Linked DNA regions of Drosophila melanogaster. Changing the gene in region 2 together with the main gene of any one other region gives a genetic interaction. Each region holds a gene or a part of one and is shown on either strand. Other genes may lie near its edges.

What was found.
Region 1: of prd (region 2) and Myc, changing one suppresses a phenotype caused by changing the other (phenotypic suppression), as found in Drosophila melanogaster (2 studies listed by BioGRID).
Region 3: of prd (region 2) and CycE, changing one suppresses a phenotype caused by changing the other (phenotypic suppression), as found in Drosophila melanogaster (2 studies listed by BioGRID).

The regions. Positions count from the first base shown.
Region 1 is NC_004354.4:3,371,088-3,376,328, reverse strand, and holds the start of Myc (Myc), read right to left. Parts: upstream 3,171-5,241; 5' UTR 2,606-3,170; intron 1,390-2,605; exon of another isoform or gene 1,386-1,389; 5' UTR 1,324-1,385; coding exon 96-1,323; intron 1-95. UniProt on the Drosophila melanogaster protein: Participates in the regulation of gene transcription. Binds DNA in a non-specific manner, yet also specifically recognizes the core sequence CAC[GA]TG. Seems to activate the transcription of growth-related genes; required for cellular proliferation and growth.
Region 2 is NT_033779.5:12,082,455-12,087,943, reverse strand, and holds prd (paired), read left to right. Parts: upstream 1-2,116; 5' UTR 2,117-2,414; coding exon 2,415-2,481; intron 2,482-2,565; exon of another isoform or gene 2,566-2,801; intron 2,802-2,855; coding exon 2,856-4,630; 3' UTR 4,631-4,949; downstream 4,950-5,489. UniProt on the Drosophila melanogaster protein: Pair-rule protein expressed in a segmentally repeating pattern to define the polarity of embryonic segments. Capable of sequence-specific DNA-binding.
Region 3 is NT_033779.5:15,743,356-15,748,398, reverse strand, and holds the start of CycE (cyclin E), read left to right. Parts: upstream 1-1,788; 5' UTR 1,789-1,915; coding exon 1,916-1,944; exon of another isoform or gene 1,945-2,142; intron 2,143-2,755; exon of another isoform or gene 2,756-3,007; intron 3,008-5,043. UniProt on the Drosophila melanogaster protein: Essential for the control of the cell cycle at the G1/S (start) transition. Targeted by archipelago for degradation by the SFC ubiquitin ligase complex.

The DNA.
Region 1 (5,241 bases), on a different chromosome or scaffold from region 2:
CCAGACCATTTTGTATTTCTTGTAAGACATTCGGACTTTAAGCTTCCAATATTGATGAAAATGGGGCATATGAAAAGTATATAAATTTGACTCACCGGAATCTGAGGGGGTCTCCAAATTGGGACCATCGTCCACCATATCGTTGCAGCGCGTGTAGCTGTGATCGGTGATGTGCATCATGTGCAGCATGCCGTTGCTGTTGTTCTTCAATTTGTTGTTTTTGTTGTTGCTGTTGTTGTTGTTGGTGGTGATGCTGGCATTGCTGCCGCTTTTGCTAGTGCGATGATGGCGCAGGTCAAAGTTGAGGGGTTCACCGTCATCGGAGTCACTATCAGAGCCGGTCGTCGGCGGAGAATCCACTGTGTTGCGTCCAGTGGCTATATCGATGGCCTGTTGTTGCTCGTCCAGTTGCTGTTGGTTCAACTGCTGTTGGCCACCCGTCGAATTGGAATGCTGGTTGAGCACATCGAGGACATCGTTGATCGGCGGGATGTAACGCACCGGCAACGGATCCTTGCCGGTATTCTGAAGCTCCCTGCTGATTTGCTTAATGTAGTTGACATCGCTATCATTGCCGGTCAGCGAGATATTATTGCTGCCCATCACGCAGGCACGCAAGTCGACGTTATGTCTAAACTCTGAGGCGGCCACCTCGTCGGTAAGACTGTGAGGTGTGTCTGGTCTCTGGTATTTTATGCTATCGCTGCCGCTCAATTCGCCCGATTTGCGGATAATGTCCTGGTTGTTCCGCTTGCGGAGCAAACTTCCGCCGGGCGGTATTAAATGGACCTCGTCCTGGATCTGTGACTTCTTGTCACCGCCGCTCAAACGGAGGCGCTTCTGACAGACCGTGTAGTCCAGATCTGCGAGCTCCTTCTTGATGATCACCGGCATGTTCTCGGCACTGTTGACGACATGCTGTTGATTTGACTGGGTGTTATCTGTCGTCTGCGATCGTTGATACGCGCTGTAGAGATTCGTAGAGCCGGAAACCATCGCCAGGGATACGGCACCGGTTTCGCTGTACGACGAGGCTGCACTGTTTCCGCTCTCTATTCCATTACCGTTACCGCTGGTCAAACAGCTGGACATCGCCGGCCACATGCAGTCGATGTTGCGGATCTCTGGCTTCATATCCTCCTCTAAGTCATAGTCTTGAAATACACTTTCCATGTCCTCGATCTTCTCGAGATCACTCTGAATGGTGGACGACGAAAGGAGTTTGTCCATATCGTACAGATCATTATCCATATCGAATATTGAAATATTTGAAAAAAGTTGGTCGTCCATTATGGAATACGGATCAGAGCGGTAAAGGGCCATTGCGATTATGTTGTCTGGGTTTTTTTTTCTTTCTATATATCTTAAGTTCCTGAGTTATATGCCTGTCTGAAAAATATAGATAAGGCGGAAATCGTTGTAGGTATGATTCTATATTTGAACTTAATTAAATAAATATGTCGGCAACACACTTTTTGAAAACTTCTTCAACATAAGGATTTTTGCAACATTTCAACTATAATGTAAGAGTAACTAAACTCCTAATATTATTATTGTATTAAGTCACGTTCTACTGTGCCAGATTTCACCTATAATGACGTCAGGCGATGTCGAGGGTTCAGCAAATGTTATCAAAAGCAAATTTAGCTTATAGCTTCATTTATACACTATTAACCATTTGAACCCGAAATCGTCAATCTTGGCGCTCTTGACAATAGCAAAAAAAAAAAAAAAATACATATACTAATGAAATAAACAAGGGCATAAAAGGAAAACCAAATATCAAATACCCAATTCCAGTTACTGAAAAATAAACGGTCCTTTTACCGATAAACGCAGACCTGCAAAGCTTACTGTGCTTTTCCCTTTTCGTAGAATCCGTTGCATTCCGGTAAACAAGTACGAGCAAAAACTAACAGTACATGTCTTTCGCAGAATCGAACGCAACCCGGTATATATTGAATTTCAGAATCATAGTAAAATTGGAATATCAACATTTATTAAATTATTATTTAAATCTTTTTAAATTTATTAAGCTAATTTATTTCTTTTTTAATTTATCAAGCTAATTTATTTCTTTTTTAATTTATCAAGCTAATTTATTTCTTTTTTTAATTAATTGATTTATTTCTCCTTTAAAAAGTTTAATACTTTCGTAAAAATTTTGGGACCATTTTATTTAATTACTTTGGAGCCCCAGAGTTCTGGAATTTTCGAACATTACCAACTCGTTTCAACGCCATCAAAGCGTTTTTAATACTTGCCAGCATTAAGAAGAATTTCACAAAACAATAAAGAACTTTGTAGAATTTTGTTTTGCAAAATTCGTCCACTTCCACTTTTCTATTGTCTCACTTTTTGTTCTTAATTTCTTGTAAGCACTTGATTCTTAACATTCCTTCTGAGTTCCTAGAATCCGTTATTTCGTATCGATTTGTGCGGCCATGATCACTGATTTGTCATTGTGTGTGAGAGCACCGTTAAAAGTTAAGCTATTTCACCTTTCCCAGAAATTCTATTTTGAATTCCCCGTAGTGGCGCGATTTTTGAAGTCGTTGCGTTCCGATAAATAATATATATTATATATATATATCTTTGCACTCACCTCGCTGAACATAGTTTCCGTATCCGTCTCTATTTAATTGATTGTAATCCAATTTAGTTAGCTTCCTTTGCTTTCCAGTCGCTTTCGGCTATATCTATTTCTATCCCGTTCCCGTGCCGCCAGCAAGTTGGGCACTTTTTTTTTTGCGTCAAAGAAGGGGAAAGACGGAGAAAAAACACCAAAAAAAGGGACACAAAAAAAAATTCTTCCCGTTTATTTTGCACTAGCTGATTTTTTTTAAAAAATCTTTTTTTAATTCTAGTTTTTCACAAGTTTTTGTTTCTGCTTTGGAGAAGATTTTTTTTTATGTATTTGCGCGGTTTTAAGTCGGCTCTTAGGTTATTTCTGGGATTTAGCACTTTTGTAACTTGGCTGTGACAGTTGTTAGTAGTAGTTGTATATTTTAAAACGTGTTGCTTCAGGTTTTACTACAGAACTATTTATATAGCGTTTGGTTTTTTTTTTTTGTATCGGGCGGAAAACAGGCAAAAATCCAATCCACAAAGCGATTCTCTGAATTACCCGCGGTGAACTGAACACGCGACGCCACAGAAATAGTGCCCGTTTCATGTTGTCTGTGGCTTAAATAAAATTTCTATCGTACCAGACTGCCGCGCTCTCTGCGCTCTCACTGCGCATGCTCACTGCTGCTCTCTTTGCTGGAATTCGCTTTAAGTGGTGAGAATAGGAGCTTCAACAAAAATCTTCTTTGACATTTGGATCACATTTAGATCACATTTGGATTCATCACGATTTGTTAATACTCGAAGGTTTTCAAATAGTACGCAATGCATTTAAAATGATCAATGTTTCTTTGCCTCTCCCGCACACTGGTTCACATAACAGCATCAGTTTGCCGGTATTTTTTTTTTGAGTGAAAGAGAGTGAGATTTTTGAGTGGTGTTTACAATAATTGAGCGCAAACAAAATTGAGACAAATCGCAAATTGCTCCGTAAATAAAAACATAAACAATTAACTTGAACTGGCTCAAAATGTTTTTGTGAAATAAATGCAATACGAAAATGTGTAGTTGACTGGAAATCAAAACAAAATTTTATTCATTTCCTTAATTTACTTACGGTATGTATATTAAAATATAGAAATTAAATTTATAAATATACGCATTTATTTATGTTAATGTTAATCGACATAAAACTACAGGTTTCAATTGCTTTTCTGTGGCATTATTTGGGATTCTTCATTGCCGCATAAATGTTTCCTATTTTTAAATCGATTTATTTTAAGCTCTATTCCTTTTTGCGTAGAAGTTGCGAGAAGTTGTTCATTCCCTCTTGCTTTGGCGCCTTACATTTCTTTCGTATTTCCTTCTTGCCCTTTCCTTTATCTATGCATGCATTTACCGTACTTTTTTTTATGTGCGTGTGTGCCTTTGTCACCTCTTTGTCTGCCACGCAACTTCATTTTCCGTTTTGTCAAGTTGATTGAACTTGTGAACTTTGTAAACAATGCAGAATTCATTTAACAATAATAGAAAAGTTAGGCCGCATGGTAGAAACAAAAGAAGAGCCAAACATTTTGTTAACGAATTAAACGATGCCAAGGAAATGTAAAAAGAAAGGGAAAAGAATAGAAACCAGCCAAAAATATTACAACTTTGGAAAGAAGAAGTTGTGGAAGAAGTAGAAAAGGGTAATAAGGTAAAGGCGGATAGGAAGCAAGGGGACCTTGAATGAAAAATAGAATATAACATGCACAAGCATACGTCTCTACATACATACATACATATGTATGTATGCACATTCCAACAAACTTCTTAATAACTGTTTGTAAAATACAATGTACATAGTATGTGTACTACATACAAATAATGATTTGTGCATGTGTACATATGTTTATCGCACAAATATGTACATATGTACACATATATCAACCTTTAAAAATCGACTTGAAAGGACCTGCATTTTGAATTTTGCCCCTTTTAGAGAGTATTAAATCATCAGGTGGTTCCGACGCAAAGTTCCTCCCGCTTTCTACACCCCGTCGATTTTGTTACGTTTCGCTTTGATTTTCATTTCCACAACTTTTAGTGCACAACATAGCGCTTTTGGCGCGTGCATCTGCCCTCTCTTTCACACGCTTTGTTTTGATTTCGCAACGAGGCGAACCAGCAAAAAAAAAATGCACGCTGCACACTCGCCCAACTACTCTGCAATTTGCACATTTAATTAATTGTTTGTACAAGCGACATATTAAAAAAAAAAAAAAATTGTTTAATTCTTCTGTCAATGGAAATCACAAACAGCCCAATAAAATTCACCTTCCAACATTCCGCTTTAGTATCCATAAGCATACAAACAGCCATTCGTTGGCAAAAAGCGATATGCTCCACTTTTACAGGGTACAACTGCGTCACAGACAAAAAGAAATGGTCCCGCAATTTGCGAGCTTTTGTCCGTCCAAGTTCTCGATTTCAATAAGTAATATTTCTTGTGTTTCGATGTTTGCGCAATTTATGTTTGCGTGTGCTGCTTGTTTTTGTAATAGTATTAAACTATTTTCTGCACTTTTTTTTTGTTTCGCGGGTAAATGGAAAGTGTGCATGGCGAGATAAAACAACTGCGTAAATAACGGCAGCAAGTGGCTGCCGAGTTTCCATATCTAGTTTGTCAAGAAT
Region 2 (5,489 bases):
ATAAATCGCACAATGTGTGCATTGTTTTCATCGATTATATAGCTATTTGTGTGCATCGATTGAGCGCACGAGCCTCTCGAGGCAGTTCCTCCAAATCGGATGAGATTCGAGTCTTGGAGATGTGTAGTAGGGTCGCAGGTAAACGAAGCATTCGCTGGCGAAAGTTGAGGATCGCGAGGTGGATTTTCATTCATAGCACCCTGGGTGGCATCATAAAAAGTCTCTTAGCATCCTTATTCATTGCACGGATGTGTCTTCATTTTCCCGCTGGCCGATTCGTGGAAATGCGAGCGAAGCTGACTTGCAGCGTTTATGGCACCGATGCCTCCTACTGCTTCCTGCATTTCGGCCAGGATTCAGGACCTTTCTCTACCCAAAGTGACGATCCCATAGCAGAATCGCCTTTTTCCAAGCGTTGATAGCGCGAAATTAGCGTTATATGAGTTGCCTATTCAGCGCTCATTGTCCTGCCAAATTGTGAAATCAACGAGGATCAAATCGAATGGTGGGTATCGATGGTGGATTGAGGCGCCTCTCCATTTGATTCGAGTTACATATGTTTGAGGATAATTTAATTATCACAGAATACTTGCTAGTCTGCCATCGTGGCCATGGGCTCAAGGTCATCGGGGATTTTTGCTATCCTGCCAGGCGCAAATGTAGCGATTCCATACTGGGTGCCTGGTACTGCGAACTCCTCCCGTTGGGTTTGCTTAACCAAACGCCCAACGGGCAGCCGCACCGAGCAGTAGAAACCCAACCTTTGTTGCCTTGCGGCCTCCGTTGTCCTTGATCTGCATCTCATCTGGATCTTGCACTCCGGCACTTGGATACGGATCCTGCCGAGGAGCATGCACATTCGTCACATCTCTGTGGGTCAATTTCCTCGCTGGCGTTTCAAACGGAGGTTGGGGTCCATCATTAATTCTTGCAACACTTGGCGCTCTCTATTGTTCGCGGCTTTCAGGTTTTTGTTGTTATCCCACTCGGCGCTTTCTTTTCTTTTCCATCGGTTTTGTTTAACTTCTTTTCGAGGGTCTCTGTTGCGTGAAATTCTACAATTAATCAAACCCACGACGGCCCATAGAAAAGGGTCGAAACTATGGTTATAAGCCGGAGGCAGCGGAGCATAATGGTGGCAAAAGCATGACAAGGATGTGGATGCGGTCATGGTAAGGATATGGATGAAGTCACTTTGTTAAATGTTAAATTGGAAAGTTGGAAACATAAACTGATCAATAGTCGCTGATTTTGTATTCAACTGAATATGTTTCCCTGCATCCAATATGGTGTTATATATTTAATATCTCACTTATTTTGTTTGAAAATAATTTACTATGATCTATCAATAGATAGTTCTAAACACACACTTTTATATTTATATGTAATATACTGATAATTAAAATAAAACCTACAATTTGAAATGAAGAACTTTGTTCACCGTTTCCGAAAGCAATAAATAACTGAGAGAAAAGAGGCTACTCGAGTGGCAATATAAACGAAAGCCATAATTAGGTATCAATAAAGGATATATTACGCTTGTAAAGAGTGTTAAACGCGTACTCGATTGCATTATGGGTTCCAGTGAATATCTAATTTGATTTCCGGGGCCAAGTGGAACCCCAAAGAATATCTCAAGTGAAGAGTGAAAAGCAAACGCCAGGCAGACTGATCTCTCAAGTCCAGTATTCCCTTATCCTTATAACAAGGTATCCATAAAGGATATGTAACGCTTAAATTGTATCGTGCTACTTACGGCATTAATTAATTTCCGGAAACCAGTGAAAGTCGAAACTATGCATAGGATTTGAATGGATGGAATGCCCAGGATCTGGAGCAGAAGTATTGTGGTTCCCTTGTACTCGTATACCCCCCAATCCAAAGTTCTCTGCTCTTCTCCCATTCCACGGTGCTTTTCACAGCTGAGACGCCCCCTGGCGGCGAGCGAGACGGTTGCTAAATGGGTCGAGTGAGCCAGAGCGAGATGCCGTTGTGGAGAGCGCTGCGATTGGTCCGCGTAGTGGTTACCTGCCAAGTGACTGTGGGATATGGCCGACGTCTGGGCCGTGGCTTCACAGAAAGGCAACGATCTTGGCCGACGTTCGGATGGTGAAGTCAGTCAGGCACAGACTGCGCAACGAGCCACACCGCATCTCGTCCTCGTTCTCGTCTTCGCCTTCGCCTCCGTTTCATCTTTCCCATCGAGATTGCGAACTAACAGATACTTAGATATTCGAAGTGCAACTAATCGGTTAATCAATACCTCGCAACGCTTACTTATGACTTTGACAAAGTGTCCAGACATTGTCCAGAACTAAAGTGATATAATCAAGTGATATACGAACTTCGAGACTGAGTTAACACCGGTTTTGTGCCGGGACAAGCTTACGCATCTTGGAGCTCCTCCAGAAACTATGACCGTAACCGCCTTTGCTGCCGCAATGCACAGACCCTTCTTCAATGGATATTCTACCATGCAAGGTGAGTGTCTATCGCTTATATACAACATCCAGCAAAAGTCACTTTGGAATATAAGTCACTTTCACAATGTACTTACTAAATATCAAAGCCTAGTTGATCATTTCCATATATCTTCATTTCTAAACCGACGGCTCAAGATCCCGCTAAAGATCTCAGTTTGGGCCAAGGCCGTCGGCTACTCTCTAATGGCCATTAGTTGCCCGGCGGGAGAGTCGCGCGCCTCTGACCTTCGACCTTAGCTCCGAGTTTCCCGTCTTCCCGGGAAGTCAACTCCGGTCGAAGGTGTCGTAAATCAAGTGACACGCGCTCCGCTCTACCTAGCTAGTATTGGAAAAGCCTCTAAAATTTCCATTTTCTCATCTTCCTCATTCCAGACATGAACAGCGGCCAGGGGCGCGTCAATCAACTAGGTGGAGTTTTCATCAACGGTCGTCCTTTGCCCAACAATATTCGTCTTAAAATCGTCGAGATGGCCGCCGATGGCATTCGGCCCTGTGTGATCTCCAGACAGCTACGTGTGTCCCATGGCTGCGTATCGAAGATCCTGAATCGCTACCAGGAGACTGGCTCCATTAGACCAGGCGTAATTGGTGGCTCCAAGCCGAGGATAGCCACGCCCGAAATCGAGAACCGAATTGAGGAGTACAAGCGCAGTAGCCCGGGCATGTTCTCGTGGGAGATCAGGGAGAAGCTGATCCGCGAGGGTGTCTGCGACAGGAGCACAGCACCATCTGTGTCCGCCATATCGCGCCTGGTGCGCGGCCGAGATGCTCCATTGGACAATGATATGTCTTCTGCCTCTGGATCTCCGGCGGGTGATGGCACCAAAGCATCGAGTTCCTGCGGCTCCGATGTCTCAGGTGGCCATCACAACAACGGCAAGCCCTCCGATGAGGACATCTCTGACTGTGAAAGTGAGCCGGGAATCGCCTTGAAGCGCAAACAGCGCCGCTGCAGGACCACCTTTTCCGCTTCCCAGTTGGACGAACTGGAACGCGCCTTCGAGCGCACCCAATACCCTGATATCTACACCCGTGAGGAGCTGGCCCAGCGCACCAATCTCACGGAGGCACGCATTCAGGTGTGGTTCAGCAATCGGCGTGCTCGTCTCCGCAAGCAGCACACCTCGGTCTCGGGCGGAGCACCTGGCGGAGCAGCTGCCTCAGTGAGCCATGTCGCCGCGTCCAGCTCTTTGCCCAGTGTGGTATCAAGTGTGCCCAGCATGGCTCCGCTGGCCATGATGCCGGGATCCCTGGATCCAGCCACTGTGTACCAGCAGCAATACGATTTCTACGGCAGTCACGCCAACATTTCCGTATCCGCCGCAGCTCCAATGGCCAGTAGTAATCTATCGCCCGGAATTACAACCACGCCACCGCACCACCATCAGTTCTACAATCCCAGCGCTAACACAGCCAGCTACATAATGCCGGGTGAGAATGGCAACACCACACCCACCGGGAACATCATCGTCTCCAGCTATGAGACTCAGTTGGGTTCAGTTTACGGCACCGAAACGGAAACCCACCAGACTATGCCACGCAACGAGAGCCCCAACGAGTCCGTGTCCTCCGCCTTCGGGCAACTGCCACCCACACCCAACAGCCTTTCCGCGGTGGTGAGTGGAGCTGGTGTGACCTCCTCCAGTGGGGCCAACTCGGGAGCCGATCCCTCGCAGTCGCTGGCCAATGCCAGTGCTGGAAGTGAGGAGCTATCGGCTGCCCTGAAAGTGGAATCGGTGGACCTGATCGCGGCCAGTCAGTCGCAGTTGTACGGCGGATGGAGCTCCATGCAGGCACTGCGCCCCAATGCGCCACTTTCGCCGGAGGACTCGCTGAACTCCACCAGCTCGACCAGCCAGGCTCTGGATGTCACCGCCCACCAGATGTTCCATCCGTATCAGCATACGCCGCAGTATGCATCCTATCCGGCACCAGGCCACGCCCATTCGCATCACGGACATCCCCATGCGCCGCATCCGCACGCACATCCGCATCCGCAGTACGCAGGCGCACATCCGCACTATCCGCCGCCCAGTTCGTCGGCGCACTTCATGCCCCAGAACTTCAATGCCGCCGCCTTTCCTTCGCCCTCGAAGGTCAACTACACAACGATGCCGCCACAGCCGTTCTATCCCTCATGGTACTAGAATCAAAGGGACACGGATCCACCACCTACTCCTCCAGGAGCAGGAGCAGGTGTCACCAGATCCATGGTACAAGTCGCCAAAGATGTACATACCCATAGAGCAGGGGACGAAAATATAAATAACATTTTATTTGTGGTGGAGCAGTACAGACATTTTCCGTTTGGGAAAACCGCTGACAGACTCGCTCCTAAACAATAAACATATGTATTAGTTCCAATTCGTAGATGTAAGCCTAGAAAATAGTACCGACTTAGGATTAGAGTTTAAGATGATTAGCCTAAGTAGCAAGTGCTCTTAAATAAAAAAATATATCTATGCTAATTTACAACGTACTCCAATGATCTTTCACTCGAAACGCTGGCCATTCAGCAGCCTTGACACGCTTCCGTACGCAGCGGGAAATGGGAAATCCTCTGGGCCATTAGAGCCTTTTAGTAGCTGCGCATTCCACGGACCTGGCTGGAGATCTCAACACTCGCCCCGGGTGAGATACCGATTCCGATTGCTGCTCTCGGAACTTCAGATCCAGCTGTGAGCGGGTCGCATAGTTTCCGGAAAAAAAGAAGAGAAAACTCCCGAAATGCAAGATGATGATTTGGAACGTCCAAAATAGCGAAGACAACTCCAACCAAGGTGTTAATTGCCCCCTCGATTCCATCGAATAGAGAGTGTTGGTCCCTATGGGACTACGAAGTAAATGGAGTAATTGCCCTCGTTCGGACTTACCTCAAATTCACACCTCATCCTCGGGGATCTGCCTACCCAACCATATTCTACGTGTCCGAGCGATGGCAATTAATGAAGTCATTATCCTTGAATCCTCACCTCCAGACAGCTCAGACAGCCTAACGCACACTGG
Region 3 (5,043 bases), 3.7 Mb from region 2:
ACGTTGCACATCTTTTATTATTTTAAATACCCGATTTCCAGATATGATCAGCCCGGAAAAATAGTGAACTAAATATGCAGAGCAGTAAAAGTCAGGCTAACATAGAAGTTATTTTTCAAAATTTGAATAACGCGCCAATAAAAATCCCGCAACGCGATCGGCCGTAGTGGCAACGCCGCTGCCACTAAACTCCGACTCTCTCTTTGCGCCGTGTGGCCAGATGATTATGGCCTTTTTTTTTGCTCTTTCATCGCTCTCTCGATTTCGATCTCGTCACAGTGCCACTTGCGATCATTGTGTTACTTTGGAGTCGCTGAAAAATCGCGGGGATCGCATCGAATTGGCCTTGACTGCCGTGGGGTTGAGCTAGCCGTGAAAAAGACCGCAGAACCACGATAAATCTGTCGAAAAAGGTGACAAAAAGGAGGCTATACTGTCTTGCTGGCTGGCGTGCGTGTGTATGTGTGCGGCGGTGTGTGCAATTTTTTTCATCACCATTCCAGTCCGCGTGTGTTTTTCAGTGTGCAATCCCGCTGAGAATTTGCCCGAATCCTGCCCAACAGCAGGTGAGTGATGCCGGCCAATTGGCCCATTCGATTTGCAGCAGGTGCAGGGTTCAAAAGTTCGTGAACTTGCTTTTTAAGCCATTTCCTTTAGACCCCGTTTTCTCCATCGATATTGTAGCAGTCGAAAAGTAATGGAAAAAAAACGTGAGCAGCGACGTCGACGTTTTTGCCTCTTTCTCTCTCTGTTCCCCTGCCCCTCTCGCGCTCTCTTCCGCGCCTTCTCTTTGCGCGCGCAGCTGTCATCGCTGTCAGCAGCGCGCGCCGACGTCGGGTTCCCGCGCGCGGGAAATCATCAAGTTCAATCGATTCTAATTTGGCCGAATTGAACGGGATTTTCGATTTTAGTGAAAAATCAGATTCTGCGAGTTTTGATCTTTCAATTGGTTATAGGCACGCATGGTTTTTCATTTAGCTTACCTGATTTATAAGCGCTCGAAGTTGGTGCCAAAAATGCTCGAATGTTAATCGATGAAAACAACAAAGTGGCAGTGGTTTGTTTGGTTTCAAAGCAGCGTTACCACCTAGTTCGACCTCAGTCATCTTGTCATATGTTATTTGGCTGCAGTTCATAAAAACTACTAGAAAAGCATATTAAACCATGTAATTTCAGGCTTCTGAAGAATAAATAAATAATTAAAATTTTAAAGATTTATGAATACCCTTCAAGATAAATTTATTTTAACCTTGAATTGATTTTGGAGCGCTTTAAAAATATATTAAAAAAAATAGTTTCATATTAAAATTTAAATATTTATTTTCTGAAGGTCATATTTGAATTAAAATTGGCATATGACATAGAAATAAATCTTAGGTATTTATATATAACCACGATATATCCGACTAAATCCGCCCTTCTGGCATCCTCGTCAGCTGTTTTTCGACCACCCAGCTGACTGGACGTCGAACCTCCAATTGTAGTCTGACTAGCCTGTTGGGGACTGGGGACTCCAATTGCAGACTCCATTCAATAAAATGCCAAGCTTGCCACCAGCGGCTTCATCGCCCCGTCTCGCTTTCTCACGCTCTGTTCTTTGCGCTGGAGATGCTCGCCCCATCTCCGTCCCTCCCCTAGAGTACAACAAAGTTGCCCCCTGTGTTTGTTGCATTTTTTGGCGCTTCGGATCCGCCTGTTTTGGCGCGTTCCTCATGCACACTCGCCGCAGTCGACGTCGCTGCTTTTGATACCCAGTTCCACCAATTTTTTTTTCGGTTCCAAAGCGATCACTTTGCTGCCGCCGCTCCGCTGCTCGTGAAGTTTTTTCGTGGCCGGCGACGACGACGACGAAAAACTCTCGAAAAACGTTGTTCAATTCCCTTTAAGAAAAACAAGTGAAAACACCGGGGATATTATGTTAAGCATTTTTCCGCTTACTAGAAGGTAAAACCAATTGCACAATGGTTTTAGTGGATAAAAGGCAATACGTTATTCAGAGTGGAATAAAATTTATGACGCGTGTGCGGTGACAAGTGTGTGTGGAACAGTGAAGGAAAGAGCGGGAGAGAATGCTGCGTTTGCCGTCGTGTCTTTGCATTTTTTGCTACAAATACAACATCCTCTTATAAGAAAATTGACACGCTGTAGGATTTAACCGTTGCTTTCTGATTGGCAAGAGACGGGGTGTCCAACTACAAATTGTCTCCCCCACACAGTGTTTTAGTGTTCCCCCTATAAGGAAAAGTGTCCTATTAGAATTAAACCGTTATCCAATGGGAACAAATTGGAAAATCCTATGAAATAAATGAAAGCTTCTAATCACGTCTAAAAGTGCACTGAGTTTCTAATGCGTAACGGGAGTTCAGTGAACTATTACAGCTTTTCTTACTATAGAAGGCTTGAGATGCAGCTTATGGTTTACCCTGCTGTTTGGGCCAACTTTCTAATCTTTCTCCCGCCCGAATTGCACTTTTTCCCGCCATTCGCATAGATTTTGGGCGGTAAAACAAAACTGCCCCAGCCCAAACGCCTAATTCGCGCCACTTTGCGTTTCTCCATTCTTTTCCCATGCTCATTTCATTTTTATACGCTTCCTCCAATGACACACACACAAGCACAAACTTGGAAGAAATGCGCTCGCTAAGAGAGAGAGTAAGCTCTCTTTCTCTCGCTCTCTTCCGTTTTATTCCAATCAGAACAGCGAGTCAAGTTATTTTCCCCTTCCCAACACCAACAACAAACAAAAACGTTTTAGTACTGCGCTCTAAAACGGAAAAAAAGAGAGCATTTGACTGCGACGTCGAAAAAATTCGGAAAATCGCCGATCAGTCGACGGACCTTTCGAAAACTTGACGAACACGAAGCAGAGGTTCAAAGCAAAATGGAGTAAACGAGTGAAGAACAAAATAATGAATTATGTCAAAAGTGGCGCAAATATCTTTGGTACACGAAGAAAAAGATTGGTAGTGGCATTTAGCCCTTACCCACAATCTACGTACATACATATGTATGTATGTTTACATATGTAGAATTAATAATAGTATTTTAATTATTGTAAAATCGTGGTTATATTTATTTTTGTGAGTAGTTACTCTATGTACGTGCTCCCAACCAATGAGTGAGCGAGATAGACTGCCAAGTGGAGAATGGAGTTCATTGATATTTCTCGGCGTTTTGCTTTCGCTTCCCCTTCGTCTCCACCTTGCTTCGCGCCATCTTCGTTCTTTCCTCTTCTCCTCTGCTTCCATTTACCTGCCACATTCATTTTGTTGTTGTTTTCTTCGCAATTTTTGCTTTCTTCTTTATTTTTTGCATTCTTTTGACGTTTTTTAGTTTGCGTGTTCGCTTTTTGCGCCGTTAAACTTTTGGAGCGATCGCGGCGGGGGTGTGCGTGGGGGGTGGGTGGTGTATTGTTGATGGGGTGGATTTTTGTATACTTAATTTTTCGATTATGTCATGATCGTGCCGAAAATCAGCCGCTTATGTTTAGATTTGGCCAGTTTAAACCATGGGGAAATAAATTGTTTTTCTTAGAAGTGATTTTGAAAAAAGTAAGAGCATCAAGTTTTTGATGATTCAGTGTCGTGAATTTTGTATATTTTCCCAACATTTTCTTTTGTTTGACCCACCTAAACACTCCTTATATGATCTATTCAAATCCTAGTCAACACCTTTCAATTCTGCTCATGATCCTCCAAGTGCTTGCCACCTTCGAAAGCGGTATGTCATCAAAGGATTTTCTAGACGAGATGGGAACCCAAACTGATCTCGAATATTTTCTCATCATATGTACATACATACGTAAATGGTTATAGGAATCCACACATATCAACTGGCCATATTAACCCGAATTCCTAGTAAAATACCAACAATATTTCTCAATTACAAGTGCGGAATGTTTTACAAATATTACATGTTCTCCAAAAGGATGAGTTGTGAATAGTAACTCCTTAAATAAATGGTTCATATGTACATATGTATGTATATGTGGGCATTTTTTTTTTATAGTCCATACACATTTTTGTCGCTGCGGCAGAAGAATCCGATTCGGAATCGGAATGAGGTGAAGCCGTATGTATGAGGAGCAGAAACAACAATGATAAACAGTTTCCAGTTATTCCCAGACAAACAAAGGATAGTCCGTCCGACTGGCGATTTGTGGAGCGGGGAAGAGACAGGACGCAGGCCACTTGAGCTAGCTGACTCGCTGTGGGCATCCTTTTAGACGCTGCTAAATATAAACTAAATAGTCAATTGAGCGCGTCCCGATGTCCTAACGGCTACTTCAAGGCCATCGATTCTTGGAACTGGAACGCCGCCGTCGCCATCGCCGCCGCTGCCGCTCCATTCAAGAACTTTGATTTGTTCTCCTCCATCGGCTGGGCCGACTTTACTTTCACACGCCGTTTTGCCCAGGCGGCGCTCTTTAGATACCCGGCACACAGATACTCAGATACTCGGACTCACAGATACACTGATGCGCGCAGGCGAGGATCGACTTTCCTGTTCTCGTTTGCAGTACCCTGTAGTTCTGGGTAGGGTGGGCATATGCGACTGAAGCAACACAGCAAACTTGGGCCAATTGACCATTAGAATTTAAACGCATTCATGAGTATGAAAAGGAAGCATCAAAGATCGGGTTCAATTCAATGATGCTTATAAAGCAATCTTCGTGTATTGGTTTAAACTTTTAGTAGTATTATTTATAGTTTCATATTATGCAAATATGATTAGGCTTTCGATTTGAGAAAATATCTTCCTAATGAACTTCACCCTCTTACCCTATCAGCATTATGTAGCTATGTTGTTACACAACTCCTGCAGACTTTCGGTCCACCGAGTTCCAACTAATTGCAAGAGTGGTGGCCAAACCACAACAATGGAGAGGAGGCGGCATTGGCATGGACAACGCCACAAATGCCCAGATGCATGTGCATTTTTATCTCGAGTATCTCAGGAATGTATCTCGCCGCATGTGCAGAGGAGCCCAAAATGCAGCCCAAAAAGGACGCACAAAAATTGCAGGCCCAGACAGTTGAAGAC